Notamacropus eugenii: one gene and its partners. The protein of the gene in region 4 purifies or fractionates together with the protein of the main gene of each other region. This does not show direct contact. Links are inferred from orthologs where the notes say so. Each region holds a gene or a part of one and is shown on either strand. Other genes may lie near its edges.

The links.
Region 1: the proteins of HDAC2 (region 4) and SP3 purify together in Homo sapiens (affinity purification with western blotting; 3 studies listed by BioGRID). This does not show direct contact. The link is inferred for Notamacropus eugenii from reciprocal best matches to the Homo sapiens genes HDAC2 and SP3.
Region 2: the proteins of HDAC2 (region 4) and TRPS1 purify together in Homo sapiens (co-immunoprecipitation; 4 studies listed by BioGRID and IntAct, with this or other methods). This does not show direct contact. The link is inferred for Notamacropus eugenii from reciprocal best matches to the Homo sapiens genes HDAC2 and TRPS1.
Region 3: the proteins of HDAC2 (region 4) and SP1 purify together in Homo sapiens (affinity purification with western blotting; 11 studies listed by BioGRID and IntAct, with this or other methods). This does not show direct contact. The link is inferred for Notamacropus eugenii from reciprocal best matches to the Homo sapiens genes HDAC2 and SP1.

The regions. Positions count from the first base shown.
Region 1 is NC_092876.1:236,039,389-236,046,510, reverse strand, and holds the start of SP3 (transcription factor Sp3), read left to right. Parts: upstream 1-4,108; 5' UTR 4,109-4,238; coding exon 4,239-4,245; intron 4,246-4,851; coding exon 4,852-4,997; intron 4,998-5,394; coding exon 5,395-5,508; intron 5,509-7,122. UniProt on the Homo sapiens protein: Transcriptional factor that can act as an activator or repressor depending on isoform and/or post-translational modifications. Binds to GT and GC boxes promoter elements. Competes with SP1 for the GC-box promoters.
Region 2 is NC_092875.1:130,539,784-130,547,482, forward strand, and holds the start of TRPS1 (zinc finger transcription factor Trps1), read left to right. Parts: upstream 1-4,695; 5' UTR 4,696-5,166; intron 5,167-5,522; exon of another isoform or gene 5,523-5,898; coding exon of another isoform or gene 5,899-5,908; intron 5,909-7,699. UniProt on the Homo sapiens protein: Transcriptional repressor. Binds specifically to GATA sequences and represses expression of GATA-regulated genes at selected sites and stages in vertebrate development. Regulates chondrocyte proliferation and differentiation.
Region 3 is NC_092874.1:226,343,121-226,350,112, forward strand, and holds the start of SP1 (transcription factor Sp1), read left to right. Parts: upstream 1-3,976; 5' UTR 3,977-4,118; coding exon 4,119-4,125; intron 4,126-5,026; coding exon 5,027-5,163; intron 5,164-5,552; coding exon 5,553-6,992. UniProt on the Homo sapiens protein: Transcription factor that can activate or repress transcription in response to physiological and pathological stimuli.
Region 4 is NC_092873.1:195,219,214-195,226,434, reverse strand, and holds the start of HDAC2 (histone deacetylase 2), read left to right. Parts: upstream 1-4,203; 5' UTR 4,204-4,559; coding exon 4,560-4,611; intron 4,612-7,221. UniProt on the Homo sapiens protein: Histone deacetylase that catalyzes the deacetylation of lysine residues on the N-terminal part of the core histones (H2A, H2B, H3 and H4).

The DNA of each region.
Region 1 (7,122 bases), on a different chromosome or scaffold from region 4:
GTGCTGAATTAAAGATGTCTGCTGGACATTTAGTTCAAGATGTCTGAAAAGCAGTTGGACATGTGAAACTGGAGGTCAGCCATTCAGTATCCTTAAATGTAAAATGGGGATATTAATGTTTACTGGCCAGGGTTATTGGGAAGATTAAATCAGATATTGGTAGTGTTTAGCAGAGGGTCTGGCATATAGAAGGTACTTAATAAATGCTTCTTTTCTTCTTTCCCCACTACTAAATAATCTTAAGTGGCTCCCTCTCACTTCCATGCTATTTGGCATATAAACCCCTTTACAACCTGGCCCCCTTCCTACTTTTCCAGTCATTACACTTTACTAACGTCCACATATTCTATGATCTTCCAACACTGGCCTATTTGCAGTTCCTTACAGACAACACTCCACTGTCTTTTAACAGGCTGTCTCCCCATTTCTGGAATGCTCTCCCGGCTCACCTGGCTTCCCTGGCCTCGGTTAAAGACTTACTTCAAACCTTATTTTATGCTAGATGCCTTTTCCTGTCTCTCTTCCCCCATCCATTGCTAATGCAGATTCTGAGATTACCATTTACATAGACTACCTTGTAGGTACATAGTTATTTGCATTCTGTTCCTCTGTTTGAATATAAGCTCCTTGAAGGCAGGGACCATGCTTTTGCCCTTATCTCGACAACAGTCTGACAAGAGGTAAATGTTTAATAACTGTTAACCCATTGTTTGGGCAACTGGTCATTTGGGGAGGCCTAGGAAGAGATGGAAGGAAAAAAAGCAAAGGAAGTTCAGCCTCTTTCAGCATGGAAGTAGAATACTTGTGGGTGATGGCAAGATTAATGGTAGCTGAGGCAGAGTGAAGGAGATCATGGAAGTTGGGTAGACTGAGGAACTTGGAAGTTATGATATTTGAGGGAATGTGTACATTGATGTTGCCTGAAATAAGAGACCAAGTCGGTTTGAAGAACACTGTGAGCCAGGTCCTGAATTCAACAGGAAAGCAGAGAGAATATCTTCCTTTCTTAGAAAACTTTTAGTCTACTGACTTGAGGTCTACAACAGCTACCAGAGTCTAGTCTTAGTAAGAAAAGATGAAGACTTTAATGATTCTGGTTGTAGTGGACCTAAGAGAAATGTATAGATTTAAGAAATGTTGTGGAAGTAGAATCAATAATACTTGACAATCAATTAGATGTTTAGGATAGTAGTGGAATTAAAGATGACATCCACCAGTTTAAAAGCTTTGGTGACTGGGAAGATGTTGATGCCACGAAGAAAAAATAATTAGAAGGAAGATGATTTGGCGGAGACAATTTCTGTTTTGGACAAGTTTAAGGTTTAGCTGACTACCCAGGCAGAGATATTCAAGAAGCAAATATGTAACTGAAGCTCTGAGGAGCCTTGGTGGGTAGAGATATGAGGTGAAAATTGAGGCCATGAGAGTAGATAAAGTAAGCAAGAGTCTAAAGAGACAACCAAGACTCAAGCCATTAGCATATAGAAAAAAAGTTAATCTTGGATAGTGTGATGAAGGAGCACCACCACTTTGTGATTAATTCTATTTAAGAAGAGAAAAGGATGTGAAGATCATGTTAACATTCCAAGTCAGGAGAACTAAAAGAGCCAGCAAGGCTCTTATCTCTGCAACTCTTAAGTAACTAGCATCCCTTAATGGTAAATAACTGCAACTCTTACTCCCTGTGTATTGTAGCAATTGTTATTGAGAAGTTGACACTAAGAAAACAAGGTAGTTTGGTTTTTTTTTTTTAAACCGCTTGCTAAGATTTGATCAGAGTTCTAGGACACTTAAGAAAAGGTCATTTGCTCTCCCTAGATCATACTTATCTTGATTTCCAAGGAAAATAAAACTATTCTATTTCACTGATTTTCAAAGCATGGAATAAGTCCAGATCATGACATGAAAGGAGAGGGATCACAGACAAGAGTTGGAAGACACCACGGAAACACTCAAATCCAACACCCTCATTTTTATAGATGAGGAAACTGAGGCGGAGAGAGGTTAAGTAACTCACCTCTGGTCACACAGGTAATGTTGGAGACAGTATTTGAAGTCTGGTCTTCCAGACATCAGGCCCAGGCACTAGGCTATCTAATCTTAGCTAGCTATACCCACTGAGTTAGGGCAGCAATACAAATGTCCTGAACTCACAGTGCAGAAGAACAATGAGCTCAGCCTGGAGGTCAGCTGTTTGGGCTGCATTTGAGAAACGGCACCAATATGTCAAATTCAGTTGAACAAGTGTTTATTGTCTATTATATGCCAAGCAAATGCTAGGCACCTGGGCTACGAAAACAAAAATGTCTCTCTTCAAATTAACATTCTACTTGGTGGTGGAACAGCTTGTAAAAAGATTTGTAAATACAAAATAATTTCTGGAGAGGGCATCAAATAATTGAGGGAATGAGTCCTTATGTATATATTGTACATTTACTGCACCACTTGTGTTCATAGAGCTTTGAATACCACATGAAAATGAAACCAAAAGAGATAACCAATTGTGCAAAGATGAACTCCACCCAAGAACTCCCATTTCAAAAGATCATTTCCGTACGCTCATGGTTTTTTAGGTATGTGAATTAACTTCCTGTCAGTTCTAGGTTTAATGCAACCAAAACTCAAAAAGTTAAAAAAGACTGCCTTGGTGATTACAAGACAAGTGCTTTAGCAGTGAGATGCAAATTCAGAAGAGCTCTTTCACCAGGCAAAAGAGATTTTGCTAGTCAGATTCCGGAGTTCAATGCTAGTAGTTCTGGGGCTTCACAGCCTGGTGAAGTTTTCTACTGGAAGAATTTATTTACAATGGTCGGAGCAAGAAAGCTTTAGTGCTTTTCAAAAAATACAGAGCTGGGGTGTTATGGACAGCATTTTCACCTCTTGCTCTGAACTGCTTTTTTGGCAACCAAATCTGGAAGTGGTAGGCAGAGACATTTCTTCCAATTGGCAAACAAGTCCTGTACTTTCTCCTACAGTGACTGAATAAGACACAAAGAATCCAAATAATCTAAAGCGGGCCCAATAAATGAAATGAGTCTAAATTAAAGCATAAAATTTAAAATGCTTCAAGAAAGAAAACGTTATTTTAAAGAAGGGTCTGGCTCAGCCCCAAGAGAGATTAAGAAGCTTGGAAAAACGCAAGTTCACGAAAAATAAGAAGTGTGCTTCTACTCTATTATCCTAGCTCAGTTGTGAGTATATATGAACAGGCACACGTGGACACATACATACACACAAGTATGTGTGTATGCATGTGTATATGTATACATATACTACACGTAGAAGCCTTTAGGTTTTCGGGTGCTTTGGCCCTTTGTTGGGTGTGAAGATCAGGAATTCTTTTTGTTACCATCCCTGCCTGGGGAGAGGCGGCAGAGCCTGAAAAGGATGACAAACCCAGTGGCTTTACAGAAAAGGAGAGCAAGAGCGAGCGAGGGCGAGGAAATCCTCCTCCAGCCTCGGAGGGGGTGTCTCCCCCAATACCAGCGCCCTCCCCCCGGGCTCGTGGGGCGGGTCTGGTTTGCTCAGCAGCAGCGGCGACGAAGGCGGCGGCGGCGGCAGCAGCCCCGGGGCTCAGCCACGGCCTCCAGGCAGAGAAGCAGCGGAGTCTCGGGCTGAGCGAGGCCCAGGGGAGATCCGGCCGCCGCCAGGATGGAGGACTCGCAGAGAGGGAGCCCAAGCCACAGGGGACGGATTTCCTCTTCAGCCCACCCCTCCTCCCCAACGCTGGCGCCTGGCGGGGCCTGCACGGCTGGCTCACGAGCGCCAGCAAGGCGGGCGAGGCCTGGACCTCGGACTGGGGAGCGGCAGCCGGCAAGCGAAGCAGGCACAGCGGGGTAACGCGCAAGCAGAAGCCGCGCTTGGGAACCGACGCCGCCGCGGCCACTCATTGTCTCTCCTCTTCCACCCGGGGGGCAAACAGGAAGCGAGGCGCCCGGGCGAGCGAGCGACGGGCTTCCCAGCCAATGAGAGAGTCCGGCGGGGAGCGTAGCGACGAATGAACGGGGAGAAGAGGGGCGGGACTTCCGGGCGGGCTGTCACCCTCTTCCCCCCTTTCGGGCTAGAGGCTCCACCTTTTGTGTTTCCCGCACAGTCAATCAAAATAGGAAAAAAAATCCCCCGGACCGCTCCGGCCGTGTCCGCCGCCGCTTCCCGCATCCTCTCCCGCCGCCGCCGCCTCCGCTCCTCACCATGTGTAAGGCGGCGGGGAGTCCCGCCTGAGGTGCTCTAAACACACTATGACCGGTACGTAAAGCAGAGTGAGAGAGCACTCCCCGCAGCCAGTCCCAACCACCCCGGGGCCGTCGCCGCCGCCGCCTCCGAGTGTGTGTGTGAGGCTGGGAAGTGTGAGTGTGTGCGAGGCGGGGAGGTGGCACAGCCTCTCTCCCTGCTTTCTCCTTCCCCTGGCCGCCGTCCGCTCCTAGGAATCCCGTGCCCCCCCCCACCCCCAAAGCGCCGTCCCAAGCCTGGGCCCCGAGTCCCGCTGGGAGCGCATCCCTCCGGTGTGCGTGTGGGTGACCGACCGTGCGAGAGGAGAGAGCGCGAGTGAGAGCGGCGAGGAGGGAAAGGGGAGGAGAGGAGAGGAGAGGGGGCAGGGGCAGCGCGGGGAGGAGGAGGAGGAAAAGAGGAGGAGGAGGAGGAGGGTTACAGGCAGCCGTGGCGGGCGGGGGAAAGAGGAGGAGGGGGAGGGGGGAGCGAGCCACCAGCCCGGGGGGTGGGGGAGAGGGGGAGAGGGGAGGGGAGGGGGAGGGGAGAGATTGTCAGCCCGGGCTTTCTATAGTAATTTCTAGCTCTCACCGCCCGGCCCCCCCCTCCTTCCCCTCCCCCTCGGCCCCCCCGCGGCGCCTACAGCTCCCGAAAAGCCTGTGAAACAAGAGGAAATGGCTGCCTTAGACGTGGACAGCGGCGGCGGCGGCAGCGGCGGCGGCGGCCACGGCGAGTATCTGCAGCACGGAAACGGCGCGGCGGCGGCGGCGGCGGCAGCGGCGGCGGCCCAGGTAAGGAAGGAGCTGCTCCGGCCCATACCCAAAGTCCCCCTCGCACTCTTTCTCCTCCCCTCGCCTCTCCCCTCCCCTCCCCTCCCGTGCCCCCGCCCCCGCCCCCGAGGAGCTGGCCCGCCCGAGGCGCCGACGCGCCCAGCCCCCTCCCCCCGCGCCCTCGCTCGCGCTCCCCTCCCCCTCCCCGCGGTGCCCTCCCGGGGGGTTCCGGGCGGGCGGAAGGTAGAGGCCCGGCGCGCGGCTGGTGGGGTGTGCGCGCGCCGAGAGCGAGAGCGAGAGCGAGAGGGCGGGCGGCCGCTGGAGGGAAGGAGTCGCACTTCCTGTGGGAGCCGCGCTCGGCTGTAACCGCCACCCCCTCCCCTCCTTTCTCCTCTCTGAACCCGCCCATTGGGGGTAGGACACTCAGCCGTCACCGCTCGCTCTGCTGGCCGCTACCTGCAGCAAGATAGGGCCGCCATTGCCCGACGACGAGGAGGAGCCGGCCGCCGCCGGGAATCACCCCGCCGGGGCGGTAAGTCGGGCGCGCTCGGCCCTGCCCCTCCCCCAGCCCGCCCCCCCTCCCCGCCCCGGCCTGCCCGGGGACCCCCCCGCCCGCCGGCCCCGCGTCTGGGGCCAGAAACAGGGAGCGGGCCAAGGAGCCGTTCGCTTCGCTATGCTCCCTCCGCCTCAATCCGGAGCCAGCCCGGGCTGCCCCTCCATTGTCACGGCGCCCCTCGCCGAGGCGCCCGCTCCAAAATGGATGGCGGAGCGGCGCCGCCGCCGCCCGGGCCCGCTCTTTGTTGTCCGGGGCGCCGCGGGCTCGGAGCGGCCCCTGCGGGAGGGCCGGGCCTTGGCGGCCTCCTCCGGGAGCCGTGGGGATGGCTGTCGGGGCAGCGGCCGCATTGTTCAGCCTGCCATTTGCATAAGCAGCCCAGACGAGTGTTCCGTGCGAAGGCGGGACGGGATTTACCGCAGATGCCCCAACGAAGCCCTGGCCTGGTCTTGGAGAATCTGTACTTGTGTGCACGCTAACGTACGCCCGTGGTTTTGTCTGCCAGAACCAGTCACATGTGCACACCTGGCCCTGCTTCGGTCATTGTTCGGGGCGATTGGGACTGCCGGGCTGACAGGCGGCTTGAGAGTGCTGTGGAAGTGTTTGGGGGGAAATGGGAAAACTGGTCAGTTTAAAACGAAGGTCCACTGCGGATGACCTGGAAACAATTTTTGGAACACTTTAGTTTTGAACTTCAGGATCAGTGTTGCTACTTCAGTAACTTTTCAGCATATTTCAGTTATTAAAATGGACCCCAAATCACCCCAAACCGTTCTTTGGTTATAGTGAGTGTGGCAGTGACCTTATTCATATTTTTAAGATATACTGATTATTCAGATTGCCAATAAATACTTGTTGTTTTCTTCCATGTTTATAATTAAGTGACCTCTGTGGATTTCCAGTTGAGCTTAAGACTTCTGATGGTTTAATTTTTTATGTTATAAATGTGCAGAGCTATACACTACAGAGATTTGAAATACTTTGCCAAAGTGAAACACAGGATTCAATTGTTCTTTAAAAAAAAAAAACAAACCTACTTCATTTTAATGCACTAAAAGTGTAATTTGAAGAGTTTTTTTTTTTTGGGGGGTGGCAGGAGCAATATTAGATAAATTCTAGCTAAAAATGATGTAAAAGATATAGCTGTTATAATGTAAGCTAAAGATTGATAGTCTTAATCAATAAGTATCAATAACATCCCTTTCCACATGGCACAAAAATAGATCAAATGACTGACAGGACTTGTAAAAGTATAATTGTGAAGTAGGTTCTTTTATTCACTTAATTTTTATCTGTTTAAAATATAAAGCAAATCTTTTTTTAGCTGAAACTTAGCAAGTTTAGTATCAGGTCACAAGTGGGAGGTTGGGAGGAATAGGAAGAAGTATGTGTAAACATAGATAGATGTATGTCAGCCATGCAAGTAGAAGGGTACCTGCTGGTCACTTGTGGCAGGAAAGAAGCTGCTGCTACCTCTACTTTTAGCTCCTCCCTTGGGCTCCTTGATAGCAGGAAACCAAAGTTCCCGCCAGGTGAATGTAGGACAGAAAGAGAGAAATAAGAGTAGTTTTTGGCACATGTACATGAAAGTTT
Region 2 (7,699 bases), on a different chromosome or scaffold from region 4:
AACTGGTACATGGCGGAGCAGCTCATATGCACAAAGGCAGGGCCACATGGAGCATGTAAGACCTGGGCTCCATAGTGTGTGCTACTAAAGGAAGGGTGGGGGGAGGGAAAGACTTTTGGAATCCATGAGGGCATAAAGAGTTGGGTTCCCTTGGAGATGTTTCTTTTTCTTTACTGTAAAGTTGGAGGTAAGTCAAACTGCTATTAATAAATGCCAACAAGTCTATCAAATTTTGTGTCAACCTCAGCTTTGGCAGTATGGTTGATGTTCAATATTTTAAAATAATAATATTTATATAGTAGATGTAGTAGAAATGATGATAATGATTGGGATCATTATTATTATGCAGGGGATCTTTGGTCAGATTTCTTTCTAGGATGAGTCCATACTAGAAATTTGCTTTTCTTCTTGTTTCAAAGAAGCCCACACTTTCTGACTTTTCAGGTGGATTGCAAGGCCCATCTGTCCAACTAGACATTTGCCCGATGAGGCTGAAGGGGTTTTGGCAAGTGTAAATGAGAATTGGAATACCAGATATGAGGTGCTTAAATGTGAATTTATTTTAAATAATTACAGCCAGGGATGCTAAGTCTAAAGATACATTTTAGAAATGAAAATAGTCAGTAACTGATTTTTATTTTTAAGTAAGTGGGATATGGATTTGGAAGGGGGAAAAACAGACCCACTAAAACTTTTCCTTGATATTATTTCTGTTGTAATTCTTGCTATGAAAGAGTGCACAGTGCTGAAGTAAATGCTTCTGAAAGACTCATTATGAAATACTGGAAAGCAAAGTAGACTATACTAAAATCGTATGATATAGTGCTAACCAGAAGGAGAATAATACATAAATGTTTTCTTGATGATGTGTGCTAAAGCAAAAGGCATTTAGGAGCAGGGTTGTCAATCTCTGAGGGTTCTGAAAAGAATTGCTATTTATGACGTGTTAGAGTAAACAGTTGGATTACATTTCTGAAATGCATGTTCCATCAGGTAAAATCATTGTGATTACAGGCACTAGTACTGTAAGTAAGTAAGTTATGTGCTAAAAGGTTGAAATTGTAAAACAAGTATACTTATGCTTAACTGCTAATCCCTCTTTGTATCTACACTGAATAAACTACAAGAAAAGGGGGAAAAAAGGACATTTAAATAATGAGGCAGGAAAGGCATGTTATGTCATCTTGATAAATAATGGGCTTTATCCACCATAAGGAATCATTCTAACAGTGGCCCATCCAATAAAGATTATCCCAGAGTTAAAGGAAATAGGAAGGATTATAAAGAAGTTATTTCTGCTTCCCTCTGTTTAAGTAGATCGGTGTTTCTTTTGTTTGCTTTTAGATTTTTCTTAATTTCTGCTTTATTTTCTAGTCTGTCACAAAAAGCACAAGTTGGCATTTTAACCACTGTACAGAAATAAATTTAAAATAAGAACAAAATAAAAGAATGACTTAAAGTGCTTTGCATTTATTTGACAACAGAAGATAAAAAATGCAAATAAACCTTTAATATTCCCTTAATCTAGAGTATGCTATGCAAATGTCAAGACAATATATCTATAAAAACAAATCAACAAATATTTGAAGAAAATCAATATACACAACTTATTTTATATATTGAAAACAACTGTCAAACAATTATGACCTCATGTATTAGTTGGTTGTTTTGAAATATTCCTACTAGGATAAAAAAAGGGCTAGGAGGGCCTTTGAGCTTGAACATATTGTGTCAATCATGAGCATATGCAATGTATCTAAAGCATGAGGTAAAAATTTTCTTCATAAATTATTTCATAAATAAATAAGTAATTTGCCTGAAAAGGTTTACGAAAATATTTTGTGCTTTTATTAAGTTCTCTACAGATCTTTTGTGGTCAATGTAAATGGATTGATATTGACATCATCTTGATCTGCTTTACTTTAACTTGAAATATAGAAAGAAAGCAACTAGAAGAGATTTTCCTTTTTTTTTTATTTCAGGGAAATGTCAGTAACATTGAGTTTGTGAAAGAATTTATTAAAGCTTCAATTTTCAGTGATCATGAACAGCACTGATGGGTGTTAGTACCTGAAGTGTCACTTCAGCCTTTCATTTAAGGGACATAATTGATCCTTAGACAATTGGTCTTGGCTTTTTGTATAATATATAATTTAGGGTGTACTTGTTGGTAGAGTTTTACATTATTACAGGTAGAAAAATGCAGGTCATTTCAAAGCTTTTGTCCTTTTGAAGGCATGTACTTTAATTTTGCCCATTTATTTAATCATTGAGTATTTGCTATAAATAAGATTTGTATTCTTACAAGTTAAGTTGGAAATAAGGAGAACTAGGAAGAAGCTCATTTAACTTTAAAATTTCTTCTACCAATACAGTTTATCTATGTAAGATTTTTTTTGGAAGGAGAAGAGAAGAGGGTATAGAAGACAGCCCTTGTTATACATTTACTACTTCAACCTTGCTTCTAAGATCCTCTAGCCTCAGATAATTTTATTCAAATAACAGCTTCAGTCATTTTCAGTATTTTAACCCTTTAGCATATAAACTTTTTTGTGAGAGTAGCCTGGTAATTATCAGAAACATAATTTAAAGTCTACTACCTCGTATTTATATGGTAGACACACTCCATAAATCAAACTTTTAAGTATGTCATGGCAAATGAACGTCTTACTCCAATCTTTCTTTTTGGATACAATTCTTTTTGAGGTGCCACACATATTTCCATGTAGGTCAACAATTTCATTTATAGCTTTTTAAAAAAAATTAAAGGTCTATTTTAAAAATATAAATGTCTTTTACTGTGGAAATTGGTGGTTGACGATATTAAATGACTCCAGTGTATAAGTATGCAGATGGCTATTAGTAGCTGACTGTAAGATTTACTGAAGATTTTGATATTAATTTTCCCTTCATGCTGGACTTTATATAATATATATTGTATAAATGTAACTCTGTTCCAAAATTAATTTCAATTGATGATAATATATGAGTAGTTCTATGTATATAAGTGGTTAGTGTTCTTATCCCACCTTCAGGGAATATATTGTGTGCCTCATTGTGAAATTGTATTTTGACTACCCCTTTTGCTTGACAAGTTTCTCTATTCCAATGAATTATTGCCCTTTTACCCATAAAGAGTGTAATAGACACCTTACAAAAATACTTAGGGGATAAACGTGTACTAAAAAGGAATCGCCTAACAAATCTGCCTGTCTAGGTATGCAATAAACATAAATGGAGATCATACAAGAGAAGAATGATGACTCTAAAAGACATATGCTTCAGTTTTCTAATTTACATTTGATTTGCTTTTTCATCTCAGAAGATAGTCTATATCACAAAATATGTTTACCATCTTCCTTGTAAAGAAAGACGAAAGAACCATTTTCCGGGGAAAATATTTTTTGAGGAAATTACTTCATTTTTACCTAACATTTTCATGATCTTGCCTTTTTAATTTCTATTTTAAATCATTTCATAATTTTAATAAGCTGTTTCTCCATTGAGCACAGAATTAGTTCAAAATGACTTGTACAGAGGAAAAACATGTCACTTAAAGTCATCCAAGTGAGAAAAAATTATGTCCAAATGCCCAATAAATGTTTATTTTTTTTTAACACCTACTATGGTTTGAATATTCATGGTAATTTTTTATACGCTGATGAGCTTTAGAGGTGAAAAACATCATATTCAGAAACAGTCAGGAATTGATTAGAAACAATGAGGGTTCTCAAATAAAAATGTGAAATATATTTTTAAAAGTCTACAAAAAAGTCTATTCATGGCTCCTTATCTGTTCACAGAAAAGCCAAACAATAACTATTCATCTCTATGAATATTGGAAAGACATTCCAGTTTTATTTGCTTGATGGAATCCCTGAACTTATCCCAGAGAGGTATCCTTAGATCAGAAAAGTCCAGTAACATCCCTCTGCACTTTTCCAACTTAGGAAAAAGTTCAAGTTGTTCTGTCCCAGCTCTCTTGTAATAAAATGCAAGTAAAACACTAACCACCAAGGAGGTGGCCTTAGATTCCTTTATCTCTCTCTCTCTCTCTCTCTCTCAAACACAAATACACACACGCATAAATCCTGTGGAGTCTTAATAAAGAGGTAGGAAAAGAAGAGAAAGTAAATAAAGGAAGATAAAAATTTTAAAAGACTTAACTTTCATAGAACTCCTCCCCTCCTTTTAAGTCATAGCACCAGTCTCGGGGTCCTTTCTTGACATTAGTTCAGGCACCCCCCTCCCCATCCTCCCCATCCCCCGCTTTCCTTGCCCTCCCTTTAAGGTAAGTGCTTGATGGCTTTGCCTATTCCCCATAAAACTTTCAGACTCACCCCCCCGCTCCCCTTCACTACCACAGAGATATAGATAGAGAGGGAGGGGGTACAGTGCGGAGGGAGGCTGGTCAGCTTTTTAGATGGGGTCGTGTAAAATATCACGGTAAGAAAGCCCGGGTGTGTGTATGGGAGTGTGGGGGAAGGGGGTGGCTTCCCTTTCGGATGTTCCACTACAGTGGAGCTCTTTCAAACTCGTAATAATTGTCTGCTCCCAAGCCGTCCTTTCCCCCTTGGCGGCCGCAGCGGATGCTGCCTTGGGCTCAGGAGGAGGAGTTGCAGGAGGCGGCAGCGGCGGCGGCGGCGGCGGTACTGTCTCTTTAAGGGAGCTCAGGCTGGGGTGGCGCTTTCCTCTGCGAAGGCTCCTTTGATATTAATAGTGTTGGTGTCTTGAAACTGACGTAATGCTCGAGGTCCTGACAAGCGATAACATTTCTGATAAAGAACTGATCTCACTGCAATCTAAAGCCTCCTCTTTTTTGGTGCTTGTTGTTGCTCCAGACCCTGGGTTTTCGCTTTTTTTTTTCTTCTTTAAAACAGAAAAGCAAAAAAAAAAACAAAACCCAAAAACCCACATCAGGCACATCCTAGATCTATTTCCTTTCTCTTTCTCTCTCTCTCTCTTTAAAAGAGGGGGGGGAGGGAAAAGAGAGGGGGGGAGGCAGGAAAAACCTTTTTTTTCTCCCCCCCTCCACACCACCACCCCCCCGCCCCCCCTGAATAATCCAAGATCAACTCTGCAAACAACAGAAGACGGTTCATGGCTCTAGCCACCGCTCCACCATCTTTCGGGCTGCTGAGGTTATTATTGCCGATTAATCAACAGGTAAGGAGGAGGGGAAAAAAGGCAAAGAGGGAGAGAGAGAGAGATCAGCAGGAGGAAAAAGAAAGGCATGGGGGTGATCAGCTTTTCTTTCTCGCTACGTAAGATAATATTGCGCACGCTGAGTGTGGCCATGCTAAAGTGTTCTCTGTGTGTGCGAAATGTGGGTGAGCTGAGAGAGGAGGATTGGGAATTAAAAGTGACTTTCTTTGCAAAACGGAGAGAGAGAGAGTAAAAAGCAAAGCAGAGAGGCTTCTCGGATTTCACATGCATTTTTTTATGCGTGTGTGTTTTCTTTCTTTTTCCCCCCTTTCTTTTCTTCTCACCCCCCCCCCCTCCCCGGTTTTGGTGGGTCAAAGGCATGTGAGCCCTGGAAATTGGCGACTTCAAACTGCAGTAGCCCCTGGAGTCAGGAGGGTCAAGTTCAGCTGCTGAGGAGGAGGAAAAACAAATCCCCATTTGCCAAAAAAGAAGTTTCAGGGCTGATGTCCCCCCCACCCCCTCCCTTTTCCCCCGTTCCCCTCTCCCCCTCGTCTCTTTCTTTCTGATTTTAATTCCCTACCATCGGGCAAAGTAGAAGAGCAGGAGGAGATTGCAACTGAGGAGCTGCTGCAGTCATAGCCCAGGCTGCTGCTGCTGGTGTTGTTACTGCCGCCGCCGCTGCTGCTGCTGCTGCTGCTGCTGCTGGAAGTTTTATGGGAATCATGACAAGCGGGGCAGAAACTAGAGACCATCATGAAGAGTAGTAAGTTGGGAGAAACTTTTTAGGGTTGGGAAGGAATGAAAGGAGAGAGGCGAAGCGAATGGGGTCCTTTTCCTGGTCCTCTGAATGGCAAGGAGGACCTGATTCTGGGTGGCTTTGAGAAAACTATCAGACCCAGGCATAAAACTTTTTTTCCCTCTCTCTTTAGAGGCAGAGTTTCAGTGTCCCCATATTCTGGTGTCTGTGTCGGGAGTGGTTTCTAGAGTCTTGGGCCAGTTTGCTTTTGCGATTTTCATTTTGTATGACAGGGCTTTAAGAAAGAGACGGTTCTTTAAATGAATGGGGGCTGTGAGAAAGAGGAAGACTTCCTATTTTAGTCCATGATGGGAAAGTGTGTTGGGGGTAGTGGTGACAGTGGGGCTAATTATTAAAAGCTACCACAGTAGTTTGAATTTAAGTGGCCCATGGAGGGCTATGCAAGCAGTCTCTCAGCCTTCTGAAGCTGGTGCTCCCTGGGCTTTGATGTTGGTCTTGGGAAAAGGATCTTTGAAGGGCCATGGCAGACACCACTGTGCCTCCAAATATCTCCACCATTCTAGGACCCCATGAGCAATTTGAGGATGGGACCTGGGGTGGTAGTTGTTTGAAGTTGTTTTGTGACTTGGAGAGCTTTTTTGTTAGTACCTGCCTGAGATGGTGGTGTTTGCCTGGGGAAGGCAGTAACTTTTATGGCTTCAGGACTTTAAAGCAATTTATGTTTTTCGGGATTGAGACCGGATCTTCGACTCAGTAAAATTAGGTTCTCCATTCTCCCCCTTCCTCGTTCCCACTCCCATACTTTCAGATTTCAGAGTATTGATCGTTAGAAAGTTATGGGCAAGAAAGCTTTAAAAGATGAAGGAAAATAAAATTCAAATAAGATTATTTCTTTTCTCTCCTATTCTACAATTTGATGCTGCTTTTGAAAAATTGGCAGTAAACTTTTAAATGAGGAAATGTGAAGTATAAAGTCAGGAAGAGTTAAGTTATGCAGAAGTTAAGTAGATTTGTTAAACTTTTCTAAATTTACCTGGAAGAGAGAGGGAGAGGTCAGAGAGTCAGAATAAGTACAAAGGGGCAATCCAGATAGGGCCTGCCTGGGACAAAAATCATCCAGTAATGATAACTAAAGCCCTGCACTTTACTTACTTTGACTAATAAAAAGAATAAGAAAGAAAGAACCTCTAACTAGTCCATCAGAAATCTCTAGCGATGAAGTGAAAAACCTATGGATTTTGATGGCATCAAATTACTTTCCTCTTGTTTTTAGGAAAAGTTGATCATTTGGAAAAGATTGCCAGAGTTAGAAATGCAAGGGGGCAAAGGAAAGTAATGGTGAAAGCCAGTGCTTGACGTGGACGAAATGAGAATGAAAGTTTCTGAACTGCATTCACTGTTTTTGAAGTTCTTACATGATGTGCATTCAACTAGAAAGCTGTCTCAGATATTCCACCACATTAATGTAAAAAAGCAAACAAACTCCAAAACGGCGAGAATTTTTTTTAATAGTATGCCAGGGCTGTGAATAAATACAGGGCTTGTATGAGAAAATGAAGTATTTCCTGTAAGTTGTCATGCTGACAACGCTGTCTGGAAATAATACTAGCACTTTAAAGATTTTATTTTATTTTTTTTTTATTTTACGTGAGTTTATTAATGACTTGATTTATCCAGCAAGTCAAAGCTATTCTCCTTTGAGTTTATCTCCTCCTCCTCTGCCTTCTCCTCCTCCTCCTCTTCCTCTTCCTCTTCTTCTTCTTCTTCTTTCTCTTCTTCTTCTTCTTCTTCTTCTTC
Region 3 (6,992 bases), on a different chromosome or scaffold from region 4:
GTCAAAGGCAGAAAGAAGGGTGGCATATACATTAAAATATTTAGTTAATCAGCGGCTTAATATGTGTCAGGCATTGTGAAGTGCTCAGGATACAAAGAAATGCAAAAAAAGCAGGGGTTACTCTCAGGGAGGTTACATTCTAATGGACAGACGGATATGTAGAGTTTGTGGGGGAGGTGATCTTCTAGGCAAGGTACTTGTCATGGGGGTGGGGGTGGTAGGTGGGACTAGGAAAACCTCCAGCAGTAGGTTGGATTTTAGTTGAGATTTGAGGGAAGTCAGAGGCAAAGGTAAGGAGGAAGAGCACTTCGGGAGACTTTGAGGACAGCCAATGAATGGGCACTGACTCAGAATGGAGGAGGCCTGAGTCACTAAAGGTAGGAAGGGGTCGGGTTGCGACAAACTTTAAATGCCAAGAAGCATTTTATATTTGGTTCTGGAGGTAACTGGGAGCCATTACATTTGATTGAGGAGTGTGGTAGCAGGGTCTGATCTACACTTTAGGAAAATTGATTTGGCAGCTGAACAGGGAATGGGTTGAGTCAGCTGTTCAACCCGGGGCCCCTGGTCACCTAATCTACCTACCCTCAGGCTTCCTACCCCACCCACCTCCCCACCCACTACTACCCCACCTACCACTCCACCTCTCTAGTCTCTGAGATACTTTTGGTGGTAGACTACCTTGAAGGATATTCCAATATTCTTGGTTTGGGGTGATGTGAACCTACCCCAGGGTGAGAGATTTTATAGCACCTTGGTAACTGATTAGATATAGGGGAGGGGGTGAGAGTGAGTGAGGAGTCAAGGATGGAACCTAGGTTGGCCTAGGAAGATCTTAGTACCCTAGACAGTAATAGTGAAATTAGGAAGCCCCCCCCCACTCCCTTCACCCCTGAAAGATAATAAGTTCAGTTTTGGACAAATTGAGTTTAAAATGCTTGTGTGGCTGTTTTTTGTTGCCTGTAGGCATTTGGAAATGTGAGACTGGAGGCCAGGTTGGGCTTGGATGAGTAGATAGGAGAATCGTCTGCATGGAGATGATAACTGAATCCATGAGAGCTGATGAGATCACCCACTAAGTAGTATAAATGGAGAAGAGGGCCCTGCACAGAGTCTATGGCTGGAGGTGCTGTGCTGAGTTTAAAGTCAGAGGTTTATCAGTGTATTGATCAGAACTCCAAAGTCTATCATAATTGCTTTTATCTATTATGTATAAATTGTTCTCCTTGTGCCAAATTTTCTCTGCATCGGTCACAGAGGTCTTTTCCAGTTTCCACTTTCCATTTCACTATTTCCTATGGCAAGATAATAATCTTACATTCATATACCATGATTTGTTTAGCCACTCCCCAACAAGTGGACACCTGAGAGCTTCTAGCCTTTGGCCACTACAGAAAGAAGTGCTGTAAATACTTTTCTACAGGTACATCTGTTTTCCTCTTTCTTGTATTTCTTTCAGGTCTAGGCCTGGGCTGGTATAGCTGGATTCCAAGGGCACATAAGAAACGTGGTAACTTTCTGGGCATGGTTCTTAACTGCCGTCCACAATGGCTAAACCCCGTCACGCTAAGAACCTCCTGGAGTGCCTGTGATACTGAAGCTTCTCCAATGTTTGTCATTTTCCTCTTGTATTTCCCAGTTTGATAGGCGTGAGGGAGTATCTCTGGGCTTTTGTTTTCCTCCCTTTGTACTTCTCTAATTATTACTGATCTAGCGAATTCTTGCACGGCTATCGATGAGCTGGGATGTCTTCCTTTGAAAACCTCTTGGTCCTATCCTTGGACCATTTTTCAACTAAGTAACGGCTCATAAAGAAATCTGAATCAGTCCCTTATGTGTTTTGGACATGGAACCTTTCCCAGAGAAACTTGCAGCAAAGATTTTCGGCAGTTACCCATCTTCCTTTTCACTGCATTAATCTGTGTGAATATTTTTACAGTGGATGTGATCCAATCTCTCCATTTTACCGGAAGTGGTCACCCTTAGACCGTTTGATCATGCACCCTATGTGAAAGGCAATCTCTTCTGGGCCCCCTTAACGAACTCGGGGTATCATCTCTGGCTTCTAAGGCCTACAGCCCTTTGGAATTTACCTTGGCACGTGTTCTGCAGGTCCATCCTTCATTGGTGTCAAACCGCTTCCCAGTGTCCCTAACAGTTCTTGTCAAATAGAGTGATTTTCTCTAGCTCCATTCCGTGGCACATGATCAGAGGCTGGGGGGGGGGGGGGGGGCAGGCTCTTCTTCCCTACTGGGCGGTGGGATCCTTTGATTTTAAATTTATTTTAAATAAAATCCTGGGTGCCCCGCCCTTAGACCAGCATTTATGGAGCACCTACTAAGTCCTGTAAGTGAAACACTCCCTGGCTTCTCTGAGGAGGTCACAGTCTGTACGAGCTGGGATCCCCCGCTCTCGGGGGGGCTCCCCCTTGGGCCCCAAGCTCTCCCGCACGCACCCCCACGCCAGGCAGGCCCTAGGCCCTCTCCGGCTCGGGCCTTGGCCGCAGCCTCCTCATGGATCCCTTCTGCTGCTTCCGCAGGCCTCACCCAGACTGTCTGCTGGGACAGAACTACAGAAAAGGAGGAGAGCCTTCGGGGTGCCCCGGCAGCTTCACTGCCTCCCCTGGCAGACGGGGTTCCTGGGCTTCCCTGAACTGTCCCCGGCCTAAGGGAGGTCCTTGATGCTTCCCCCCCTTCCTTCTTTCCTCCCTCACATCCGTGTGCATTTTACTCATCTGAGTTAATCTGGTTTTCCCTCGTTCACAGTCTTATGACCTTCAATAACGTCGATGTACTTGGTGACCTTGCGTCCCCGATTTCCGGCATAGTTTGGATTGATTAGGGTGGAAGCCGGCGGAGGGGACTTCCCCAGGCCTTGTTCTGTGGAGGTACTCGATCTGAATTTGGTTCGATGGCGGGGGAAAGAGGGAGCCCCGCGTGCCCAGAGCCTAACCAGGGGTAAAGCTGGGGTAAGCAGAAAGGAGGACGGAACACGTGCCAGGAGCGACCTCCGGCTGCCCCTCCCCCTCCCTCCTTCCCTCCTCCCTTCCCCCCCCCCCCCCCCCCCGGAGGGCCAGGCGTGGGACGCGGCGAGGGGGTGGGGGTAGTTTCCCAGAGCTCCAGTCCCCGCACGGGCCAGGGCGGAGCAGGAGCAGGGCTAGGGGGACGGAGCGAGGAGGAGGAAGGGGGCGGGTGGGCTCCCCACACTCCGCCCCCGGAGGCTAGAGCCCCGCCGCCAGCTCGCTTAAGGCTCGTGAAGACGCCTAGGTAAAAAAACAACATGGCGGCAGAGGACTATTGGCACAACCCCCCATTCCCTCCCCAGTACAAGGCGCCACTGGCCAACGCCCATTGGCCAATTTAGGGCGGTGCCCGGCTAAATCTGTTTCCTCATTGGTGGAAGGGATTCAGGGGAGGCCGATTCCGCTCTCTCAAGCTCTGACTTCCCTCACAAAACTTATTTCGTGGTTTATTGGTTGTCCTGTCACGTCAATGTAAATTTAGTCCCGTCCGCTTCTAGGAATCTTCCAATGATGGCTTGCCCAGGCACCTTTCTGGTTTGTGATTGGTCACCTTCAGATAAATCCGCCCCGTGTGCGCAAACCTGTACTTTGCGGAGCCATGTCCAAAACTCTGATTGATCCTCCCTCTCGTCATTTCTACAAAAATCACCCAATCCTTGCGCCGTAGAGAGCCCGCCTGGTTGTTGATTGGCGAATTCACAAGTCCATCTTTAAAAGGACCCACCTCTCTCTTCGAGACCCATTTCTTATTGGTCTTTCGAAATGGAGGGCCGATCCTATGAGGCAAACGCCAGCCACGCAACGCCCTTCTGCACAGCGGGTACCGCCCTAGCGAGCCAATAATCCTTCCCATTGGTCGATCGATCCGCCTCTCTTCCGTAAGTCCCTCTTTTCCCCCTCCCTCATTGGGCGGGGCAGCGGCCGATGGGCGGGGCCTAGGCCGGGCTTGTGGCGCGCTGTTCCCTCCTCCTCACCCCCCCCTCCCTGTCCGGTCCAGGTTCGCTTGCCTCGTCAGCGTCCGCGTTCTCCCCGGGCCCCCCCTAACCCCCCCCGCTGCAGGACCCCCCCTCCCAGAGCTCGTGCCCGCGCTGCCACCATGAGCGGTAAGGATCCGTGCCCTCCACGCTGGGGGCTTGGAAGCGGGTGAGGGGGCGCGCGCGCGGGCCAACCGGGCGGTCCCCGCCGAGAGGGGGGGCGGGCGGGAGGCGGCGGCGGCGGCCTTGGTCCCGCCCGGGGCGGAGGGAAGGGGAAGGGACGAGGGAGGGAGCGAGCGAGAGCCGGGGCAGTGGCGGGGCCTCCGAGGGGGAGGGGGGATGGGCTGCCCGCCCCGGGGGAGGGGGCAACGCGGCCTCGCCCGCCCCCTGCCCGCCCCGGCCACGGGGGACGGGCCTCCCCCGGCCGCCGCCCGCCCGCCGGGCGGCTCGCCCGCCCCAGGCTCCTCCGGAGGGGGCGCCGGAGCCCCGCGGGCCCCGCCCGGGCCCTCCGCCTCCCGCCCGCCCGCCTTGGGGCCGCTGCCGCCGATGCCGCCGCCGCCGCCGCCGCTGCTGCCCCCGGCCTCCTCCCCCACCCCGCCGTGGATCCCCCCCACCCCTTCGGGGGGCCCCCCCACGGGCCCGCCCTCGTCCCGCCCATCCCTCCGAAACCGCCCTGGCCCCCCTCGGCCCGCCTCCTCTCCGCCCCCGAAACCGCCTTCTCTCCTTCGGCCCAGGGACCCCCACCCCATCCCCACCTCGGGCCGCCGCCCGGGCCCCCAACCCCTCTTGTCCCCCCATCCCCCGGAGGGCTCCCGGGCCCGGCTGCCATGCCCAGCATCCCGCCTCCCGCCTCCCCGGAGCACTGGCCCCTGCTCCCCGGCCGCCTCCTCGCGGCGTGCCCGGAGACCCCGCTGCCGCCCCGAGGCCGAGATGCCCGAGAAAGGGGCCCCCGCAGGCCAGCCCGGCTCGCCCCCCTCCGCCCCCCGCCCTCGCCGCCTCTGAACGTTGTGGCCTCTTTCATCTTCTCCAGACCAAGATCATTCCGTGGATGAGATGCCCGTTGTGGTGAAGATTGAGAAAGGCGTCGGCAGCAACGGGGGCGGCGGCTTTTCCCAGACCCGCAGCAGCAGCACCGGCAGCAGCAGCAGTGGAGGAGGCGGCGGGCAGGTGAGTGCGGCCCGGACCTTGGGCCTGGCAGCGGGCCTGGGTGCGCTTGGGCAGCGAGCGGACGGGAGCCTGCCACTGGGGCGTCCATTGAGCGGTTCGGGGCATTCTCTCAAGCGCTAGCACGTCTGGAGGCCAGGGCCTTGACACGGAGCGTGAGTGGTTCTGGCCTCAGATTGTGTTCCGTGGTAGTGCCTGAGAGACCCACGCCTTGGTGTGCTTCTTCAGACCGTTCTGGACCGCGCACTGGGTCCTTTTTGGACTTGCCTGACTCCTGTGATATGTTAGTGTTTATGTTTCATGTAGTAGACCGTATTTTGTCTTGTGTTCTTGGTGTTTGTGTGACTGACACGTGACACATCGATAATCTCCTTCCTTTCCTCTCTGACCAGGAGTCCCAGCCATCCCCACTGGCTTTGCTAGCAGCCACTTGCAGCAGAATCGAGTCACCCAATGAAAACAGCAACAACTCCCAGGGCCCAAGCCAGTCAGGGGGCTCAGGTGAGCTGGATCTCACAGCAGCCACACAACTCACCCAAGGTGCCAATGGTTGGCAGATCATCTCTTCCTCTGGGGCTACCCCTACCTCAAAGGATCAGGGTGGCAGCAATAGCAATGGTAGCAGTAGTAGTGAATCCTCCAAGAACCGCCCAGTTTCTGGTGGACAATATGTTGTTACCACCACCCCCAACATACAGAACCAGCAAGTTCTGACAGGACTTCCTGGAGTGATGCCTAACATTCAGTACCAAGTAATCCCCCAGTTCCAGACTGTAGATGGGCAACAGCTGCAGTTTGCCACTACTGGGGCCCAAGTGCAGCAAGATGGTTCTGGTCAAATTCAGATAATACCTGGGGCAAACCAGCAGATTATTACAAATAGAGGGAGTGGAGGCAATATCATCGCTGCTATGCCAAACCTGCTCCAGCAGGCTGTCCCCCTCCAAGGCTTGGCCAATAACGTCCTCTCGGGACAGACTCAGTATGTGGCCAATGTCCCAGTAGCACTGAATGGGAATATCACCCTGCTGCCTGTCAATAGTGTTGCTGCGGCCACCCTGACTCCCAGTTCCCAGGCAGTCACAATCAGTAGCTCAGGCTCTCAAGAGAGTGGCTCGCAGCCGGCAACCTCAGGGACGACTATTAGCTCTGCTAGCCTGGCAACCTCACAAGCCAGTTCTGGATCCTTTTTCACTAATGCCAGCAGTTACTCGTCCACAACCACCACCAGCAACATGGGCATTATGAATTTCTCCACCAGCGGAACAGCCGGGACCAATACTCAAGTCCAGACACCACAAAGGGTCAGTGGGCTTCAGGGCTCTGACTCTCTGAATGTTCAGCAGAACCAGACACCTGGGGGTACGCTCCAGCCTACCCAACAGAAGGAGGGAGAGCAAAACCAGCAGTCACAGCAACAACAGCAGATCCTCATCCAGCCTCAGTTAGTTCAAGGGGGACAGGCTATTCAGGCCCTCCAGGCTGCCCCACTGTCAGGCCAGACCTTTACAACCCAAGCTATTTCTCAAGATGGTCTCCAGAACCTCCAGCTTCAGGCTGTTCCCAACTCAGGCCCCATTATCATCCGGACACCAACAGTGGGGCCTAATGGGCAGGTCAGTTGGCAGACTATTCAGCTGCAGAATCTTCAAGTCCAGAACCCACAGGCTCAGACAATCACCCTGGCACCAATGCAGGGTGTCTCTTTGGGACAGACTGGCAACAGCAACACCACCCTTACACCTATCGCCTCAGCTGCCTCCATCCCTGCTGGCACGGTCACTGTGAATGCTGCTCAGCTCTCCTCGATGCCAGGCCTCCAGACCATCAAC
Region 4 (7,221 bases):
ACACTACCTAATTACTAGTATCAATCTTAGACATAGGTTTTACATTTTCCATACACAAAATTTAGTCCCTTACAACTGGTCATTGGTATGTACCTTATATTTCTCTTGGCTCTCCTATGTCAAAGCGTCTATTGTGTTTGTTTTGTTTTGTTTTGTTTTTTTAACAGATTCCTGAAAGTCTGACAATTGACCAAATGTCCATTTTTTTTTTCCATTCAAAATTACTTTTAGCTTTGCTGTGTATGATATTTTCTGCCAAAAGCCCAGTTCTTTTGCTCTTCAATATATAGTGTTCCATCTCTCAAACAAAAATTTGGGACAATCATTGATAGTCCTTGGAGAGACATATAATGTAATCAAATGAAGAAAATTATTGGACAGCTTCTACTTCACTTTGAAATATTTTGGTCACTAGGTACTTTAAAATTTTAAGCCTCAAGGGTGGATCCTAATAGCACTATATTACTTTGCCCAACTTTATGCCCACAAATTCGATGATCTAAATGAGATGGATGAATATTTTAAAAAATACAAATTGCCCAGATTAACAGAAGAGAAGTTGAATACTTAAACAACCCCATCTCAGAAAAAGAAATTGAACAAGCCATCAATGAACTCCCTAGGAAAAAATCTCCAGGGCCAGATGGATTCACAAGTGAATTCTATCAAACATTTAAAGAACAGTTAATTCCAATACTATATAGACTGTTTTTGAAAATTGGGGAAGGAGTCCTCCCAAATTCTTTCTATGACACAAATATGGTTTTGATACCCAAACCGGGAAGAGACAAAACAGAGAAGGAAAATTATAGACCAATTTCTCTAATGAATATAGATGCAAAAATTTTAAATAAGATTCTAGCAAAACGAATACAGCGTCTTATCACGAGAATAATACATTATGATCAGGTAGGATTCATACCAGGAATGCACGGCTGGTTCAATATTAGGAAAACTATTAGCATTATTGATTATATCAACAACAAAACTAACAAAAACCACATGATTATCTCAATAGATGCAGAAAAAGCTTTTGACAAAATACAACACCCATTCCTATTAAAAACATTGGAGAACATAGGAATAAAGGGAACTTTCCATAAAATAATAAGCAGTATCTACCTAAAACCTAATAGCACTATATACTCTGTTGAAGCTGTTCAAACCCTGTGAATTACCATGTGGCATGTACTGCCATGTAAAAGCAAACACCATGATTTTGGGGAGATTAGGTTTAAGCCTGAGGCTATTTCACTTTGGGTCAACACCCAAGTGTGAATCTTGTAATATACCTAGTATTTCCCTACTATGTTGCCTATGGTGTTGCCACATTAGCACTAGATGAAGAAAAGAGGCCTGGCAAGTGAAAACATGTTTGTTTGAAGAATAATTTTATATAAATAAAAAAAGGAGTGACTCCACAACACACATGTTAGTGCCCCCTATAAATTAAGTGATATTTCTTGTTTCCCTGTTTTGTGCTTACATCTCTGTATGCAAATCCTCTCTCCCCAATCCCCATTAGAATGGAAGCTTTTTGAGGATTTTCATTTTTGTCTTTAGACAGTTCCTGGCATACAATAGTTGCTCAAAAATTGCTCTTAGCATTGAATTGAACTGAACTGAGTTATGACCAGAGTCTAGTTTTTAGAGCAAGTATAGCTATTAAATTCATATTAATAGTGTAGAGAGTCCTTACAAAGACATAGCTGGTGGCCCAGATTCAAATTTAAATAGGGTCCTCAAAAGGAAAGAATCTGAAGGTGATACTTTGTGCATTGATAGATAAGGAAACTCAGTTTTGGAGAAACAGAATTAATTGCATAAAGTTGAAGGCAATTTTCAATTATTCAGGGAATGAGTATCATTTGTGAATTGTCCTTTTGATGATTTTATTCTTTTTGAACATTTGTTATTTTATTGGGTAAAAATTGAATCATTTTGTTGCTGGTTACTCTGATAAAAGGTTTGGTTATTGATTTTTAAAATGGCGGTCTATCCATTTTTTTAATGCTCTTCATTTGTCCACATTATTTTCTTTATTCATAACAATAACCAATTTGCTCTTTAAAAAAAAATTTTAGTTCAGAATTTTTAAAAATATAGAAAATGTTTAGTAAATGTATGTTGATTGATTTGAATTCTCCACCTATCACCGTGATGTTTTTCTCAGACTACTTCTAGGCTTTGGAGCTTTTACACTTGGTACATTTCCAATTATCTTTTGGCTATAAGCATCCAAAATCTAAAAATAAGTTACAAATACATTTTTATTAGTGTACTTTAAGTATGGGCCCCACTACTATCATTGACACCACGTACAGTGTATACCCCACGTGTTCATGGGGAAAAGTTTTGTTACTATTGGTCTCATGATACCATCTTAGTAAATGCCTTTGCTTTGAAAAAAGATTAATTGGGAAGAGAAGTTATCTGTTAAAATTTATGTGTCCTCTAAGAATAGATGAATATGAAATATTCAGAGAAGAATGGAAAGATGTATGAACTGATAAGCCAGAAAAACAATATACATGATAACAACGTAAATGGAAAGAATACCAACAAAACCTCTTGAATTTTATATATTTGTAATGATCCAACTTGGCCCCAGAGAAGAGTTGTGAAAATTAATCTCCCTCCTTTCTTGGTAAAACTATGTGTGTGGAACATTACATATGTCAGAAGAGATTGATATGTTGGCTGATTTTGAAGAACCGCTTTTATTCTTCTTTCTTTTTTATTCTTTATTACAAAGAATGGCTCTCTGGGGATGGGAGATAGATGGGATATGTTCAGAAATAAAGCTGTTGTAGAAACCAAAGATTTTTAAAGTTACTCATCATGACGTACCCTTGGGGTAGTGTCAGTAGTAATGGTGGAACACATACTTCAAGTATATTAGTAGAACCATTTATTCATAACTCAGTTTTATTCTTATGCTGGAAATGAACCAGTTGTAAAGGCAATTGTAAGAAATCGTCTAAGAAGAAGACCACAACCACACTCATCACTCCATGCTTCATCATACTCATGTAGCAAGACAACAAGTGGTTCAGAGGGATGACTGACACCGGAGTCTATGGGGGGTGAAGGGGGCGGCAGTATCTCCCGTCCTTCATGCATTATTGATGAATCTTGAGAAGATACAATTTTGTCCGCAGCCATCCCAGTAATCACACCCCGCAGGGCACACAAACCTACCTCAAATTCGCTTATCCATTTACGGATCCCACACTATACACAGAACTTTGTGCTAGGTGCCAATGGACATTTTCCTTTCTTAAAAAATTGACTTTTGGGGAGGAGCCTAAACTTCCAACAAACTTAACTGTTTTCTTCCCAACGGCTAACACATTTAGGATTTATGGGAGAAAATGCAAAAGAGTCAACTGAACGCATTTTTTTTTTTGCTTTTCTTTTTAGACAAGGAACCTACAGAGCTGGGAGGTCCTAGCACGTGGGACCGCTAAGGGGCTACTGAATGAAGGAGCTTTGGAAAGAGAAGGGCTTCAGCGTCCAAAAAATGCCTTCTCTTTCAAGGAACTATTTCTTAAGAAAGGAAGTGGGGGGTGGGGGGGAGAAGGAAGAAAGGGGTGGGGGAGGAAGGGCTGTGTCGAGGGGAGAGAGCGGCGGCCCGTATGAACTCGCACATGGATTCCTAATTTAATTATTTTTAAGTGAGCCAGTGAGACGTTCAGGGTCCACGACGGCAAAGATGGTGACTGGTAATAAGAGGACTAAGAGGAGGGAAGCTCGGGCAGAAGTGAAAGGGAAGCGCAGCCGCACAGGAGAAGGGGAAAGCAGTGGTCTCTTCCAGACCCCTACTACCCCCTCTGGCGTAGAACACGTGGTTTGATCCAGGCGGGTACACTGGTGGGGACAGCGAAGGAGGAGGGAGGCGTAGGTGGACGCAAAGAAGTCTCGGGGACTGATGCTTCGCCTAGGAGGAACGGATGAATGCGCAACTGCGCAGGCGCGGAGTCGGCGCTACTATTTCGCCCTCGCTGAAAGAGAGGGGAATCCAGGCAGCAGTTCTGACTATTTAGTTGTTAAATATACTTATATTCCCATCTTGCCTCCTAACTTCCTTTTAGTTACTTTCATTTTCTTTACTTATAAAGAAATAGCCTATATAAGGCGTTTTTCCGCCAAATCTCGAGAGGTCTTTTGCACTACTTCTCCCAAAGCCGGCACAATGGGCACGTCCCCGCCTCCCCAAGCTCCCGGGAGGTGGTGGCGAGTCTCCCCCACCCCCCTAGCGTCGCGACTTGGCGCTGCTTCCTCCCCGACTCCACTTGTCGGCCCCCTCTGCCGGGCGGTGCCGATTCCCCCTCCCGTCACCCCTCCCTCCTTTCCCTCCCTCCCTCTTTCCTTCCCTCCCTGCCCGCCTGTAGCGCCCCCGTGGCCGCCGCCACCACCACCACCACCGTTCCAGCGCAGGCCATCCTCTGCTCCCTGCGCGCTCCCAGCCTGCCGCGGAGGCGGCGGCGGCGGCGGCTGCAGAAGCCCAGGAGCCCGAAGTCAGCAGCGACAGCCGCGGCGGCGGCAACGGGGAGCCCATGGCGTACAGTCAGGGAGGCGGCAAGAAGAAAGTCTGCTACTACTATGATGGTAAAAAAGGCCGACCCTCAGCGGGAGCGGGGAGCCCGGAGCGCGCTAGTGGGGCTGCAGGCTCCCCTTCACCCTCCCCCCACCTTGCACTGCACCTTGGCCTTCCCTCTCCCACCCGGCAGGGGGGCGGGGAGGCGGAGAACCTGAAATTGTGATGGGTCGTGCCCTGCTGTGAGTGAGGGGTGGTCGCCTGTCTCCCTCCCTTTCCCCCTCCGTCCCCGCCCCCGCCCGGTGTGCAGGCGGGAAAATGGGCATCTCCTTTTCCCCACCTACCCAACCATCCCCATCCTCCTCCCCCAAAGTCACCACCCCCTGGGGAGCCCGCCCAGGCTTCTTTGGGGTTGGGGTAATGGCGAATAAGGCCCGCCCTTCACTCCCACTAGCGTGCGTGGGGAGGAGAGCTGGGGGTTGAGGGCCGCGACGAGAAGCGCATCCGACTTGCACAGCCGCCCCCGAAATGATGGTTTCTAACACGTTCTGGGCTCACACAAAGCGGTGCATCCCCCTCCATCCCGGGCCCCGCCTTCTCTCCCCTCCCCCCGTCAGCCCCTTCCTCTTTTCCCTCCCCTCCCTTTCTCCCTCCTCTAACCCACCTTTAGCGCATCCGCTGCAGAAGGTGGCAGAGAGTTTTCCCCCAATCGCCAGGCCAGGGTGAGATGGCCTCAGACACTCGGCTTAAGGAATGATCTTTGTCCATCCAGTTGATGGAGCCCCACGTTCTCAGGGCCGGTGGGATGAAGAGGGCCCCTTCTTCCACCTCTGCGGCAGAGCCCTCGATGGTTTTCAGCCTAGGATTTCTACCGACTTGGAGACGTGCGGTCTAGTAATTAATTAGAACTAGGAGGAACGCGAGGTGGCCAGGGGACGGGATGTATTTGTTGCTACTTGTGTGTGGGAATCAGACCCGACGGGGCCTGGCCTTGGTGAAGCCTCTGTCTGTCTTAGCGGTGCCAAGTTAGACGTGGTTGCCGCCCACTTCTTTGTTGCTCTTTGTTCAGCCAGGGGTGTGTGTGTGTTGGGGGGGAACGTTGTGCGAGAGCCCCTCTTTAGGAGTTTTCATACCCCTTTGGAACCTTTGGTAAAGTAGAATGAGAATCCTGGTGAAGAAAGCACTCAGCAGCAGTTTAGAAGTGATGTCTGATTGCAGGTAGTTGAGTCCTTCAAGGGTCTGGGGGGATTCCATCCACTGGTACATATTCACCACCCTTCTGCATCTTGTTTAGAGGCTCTTCAGAAATTGATGTAGCTGAAAACAATCACCTTGTGGCCAGCCTGGTAAAAAGCCTCCACTAACACCTTTCTCCCCCTTAGTGTCGGTGGGACTTGATGGCACTTGTCCTGCACTAGTGTATCCTGAAGTTATCCCCACAGCGGAATGAGGCATCAGAGTAGGGCCCGAGTGGAGAGGGTGTAGATATTTTCAAAGTATTGAAACAAATTATGCTGGAGAGAAAAATCCCAAAATCTAGCAAAGGAATTAGACTTCTTGGCCTGATGTGCCTTTACAAATTTGTATGAAATGAACTCAAAAGCTTCCCTTTATAAGCCAGCCTTTTCCTAAATTTGACATGGTTTCTTTTGGAAAGGAACCCTATAAGTTATCTCTCCCAACATAGAATCATAGTGATACCAAAAAATAGATGTTGATGATTTGCTTTTGGATTTTTCTTTAAAGTAATATCCCATCTTTCTAGTGAAAATGACATAACTTGACATAATTTTTCTTATGCCTGTTTTATGAACCCCAAAATAACTCTTTATCAAATGATGTAAAAATTTTAATGGGGATTTTATTTTATGGCTATGAGAATAAAACAATAGTTTTGTCTTTGTTAGAAATATACTTTCTAGGAGGCTTAATTATTTATTCTAAATTGTTTAAAAGTTGTATCTGGGGCTTAAGATGTCTTAATAAGACTTATAATTCACTTTTCGTATATATTTTGGGGTGCCATAAAATCTTTTGGCTTTTTTTTAACTGAAATAGACTTTAATTATTTATATAGCAAGTGATTCTTTTTATTTAAATATAGTTTTGGAACACTCTTTTTTAAATTGATATTGTAAGGGAAGGTCTGAAGGGATCAGGGAAACCTGATCTACAGAACGCTTCAAACAGCTGTTAGTTGGTCTTGGCAGTGAATTGTGGGCTCTGAATGGAGTAGGCCAGCCTGCACTTTTCTTCTGGTCTTAGTAACATCTGTGGTATCCAAGGAAGAAACTTAGTTTCTTCTTTTCTTTCTTTTCCCTGGTAGCACTCTCTCTTTAAAACTTAGCATATTTGTGTACCTAATGTATCCCTGTTAGTAGATTGTAGAGTCCTTGAGAGCTGGGACTGTCTTTTTTTTCTTTTTTTTAATTTTTGTATCACCAGCCTGCTTGCACTAAGTGTTTTAAATAAATGTTAGAATTGAGTTGACCCTACTAATACTCTGATGATTTTGGATTATTATGGTTACTACATGGTGAATATATTCAGTTTTTTTGTTTGTGGTAGGGCAAGTAATCCTAGGTAAAATGATAAAATAGAAACAATGAGAATAGCTATAGAAGTTAACTTTGTCAGCGTTCCTTTATTGTGGATTGCTTTAGTTATCTTATGTGCTAAGA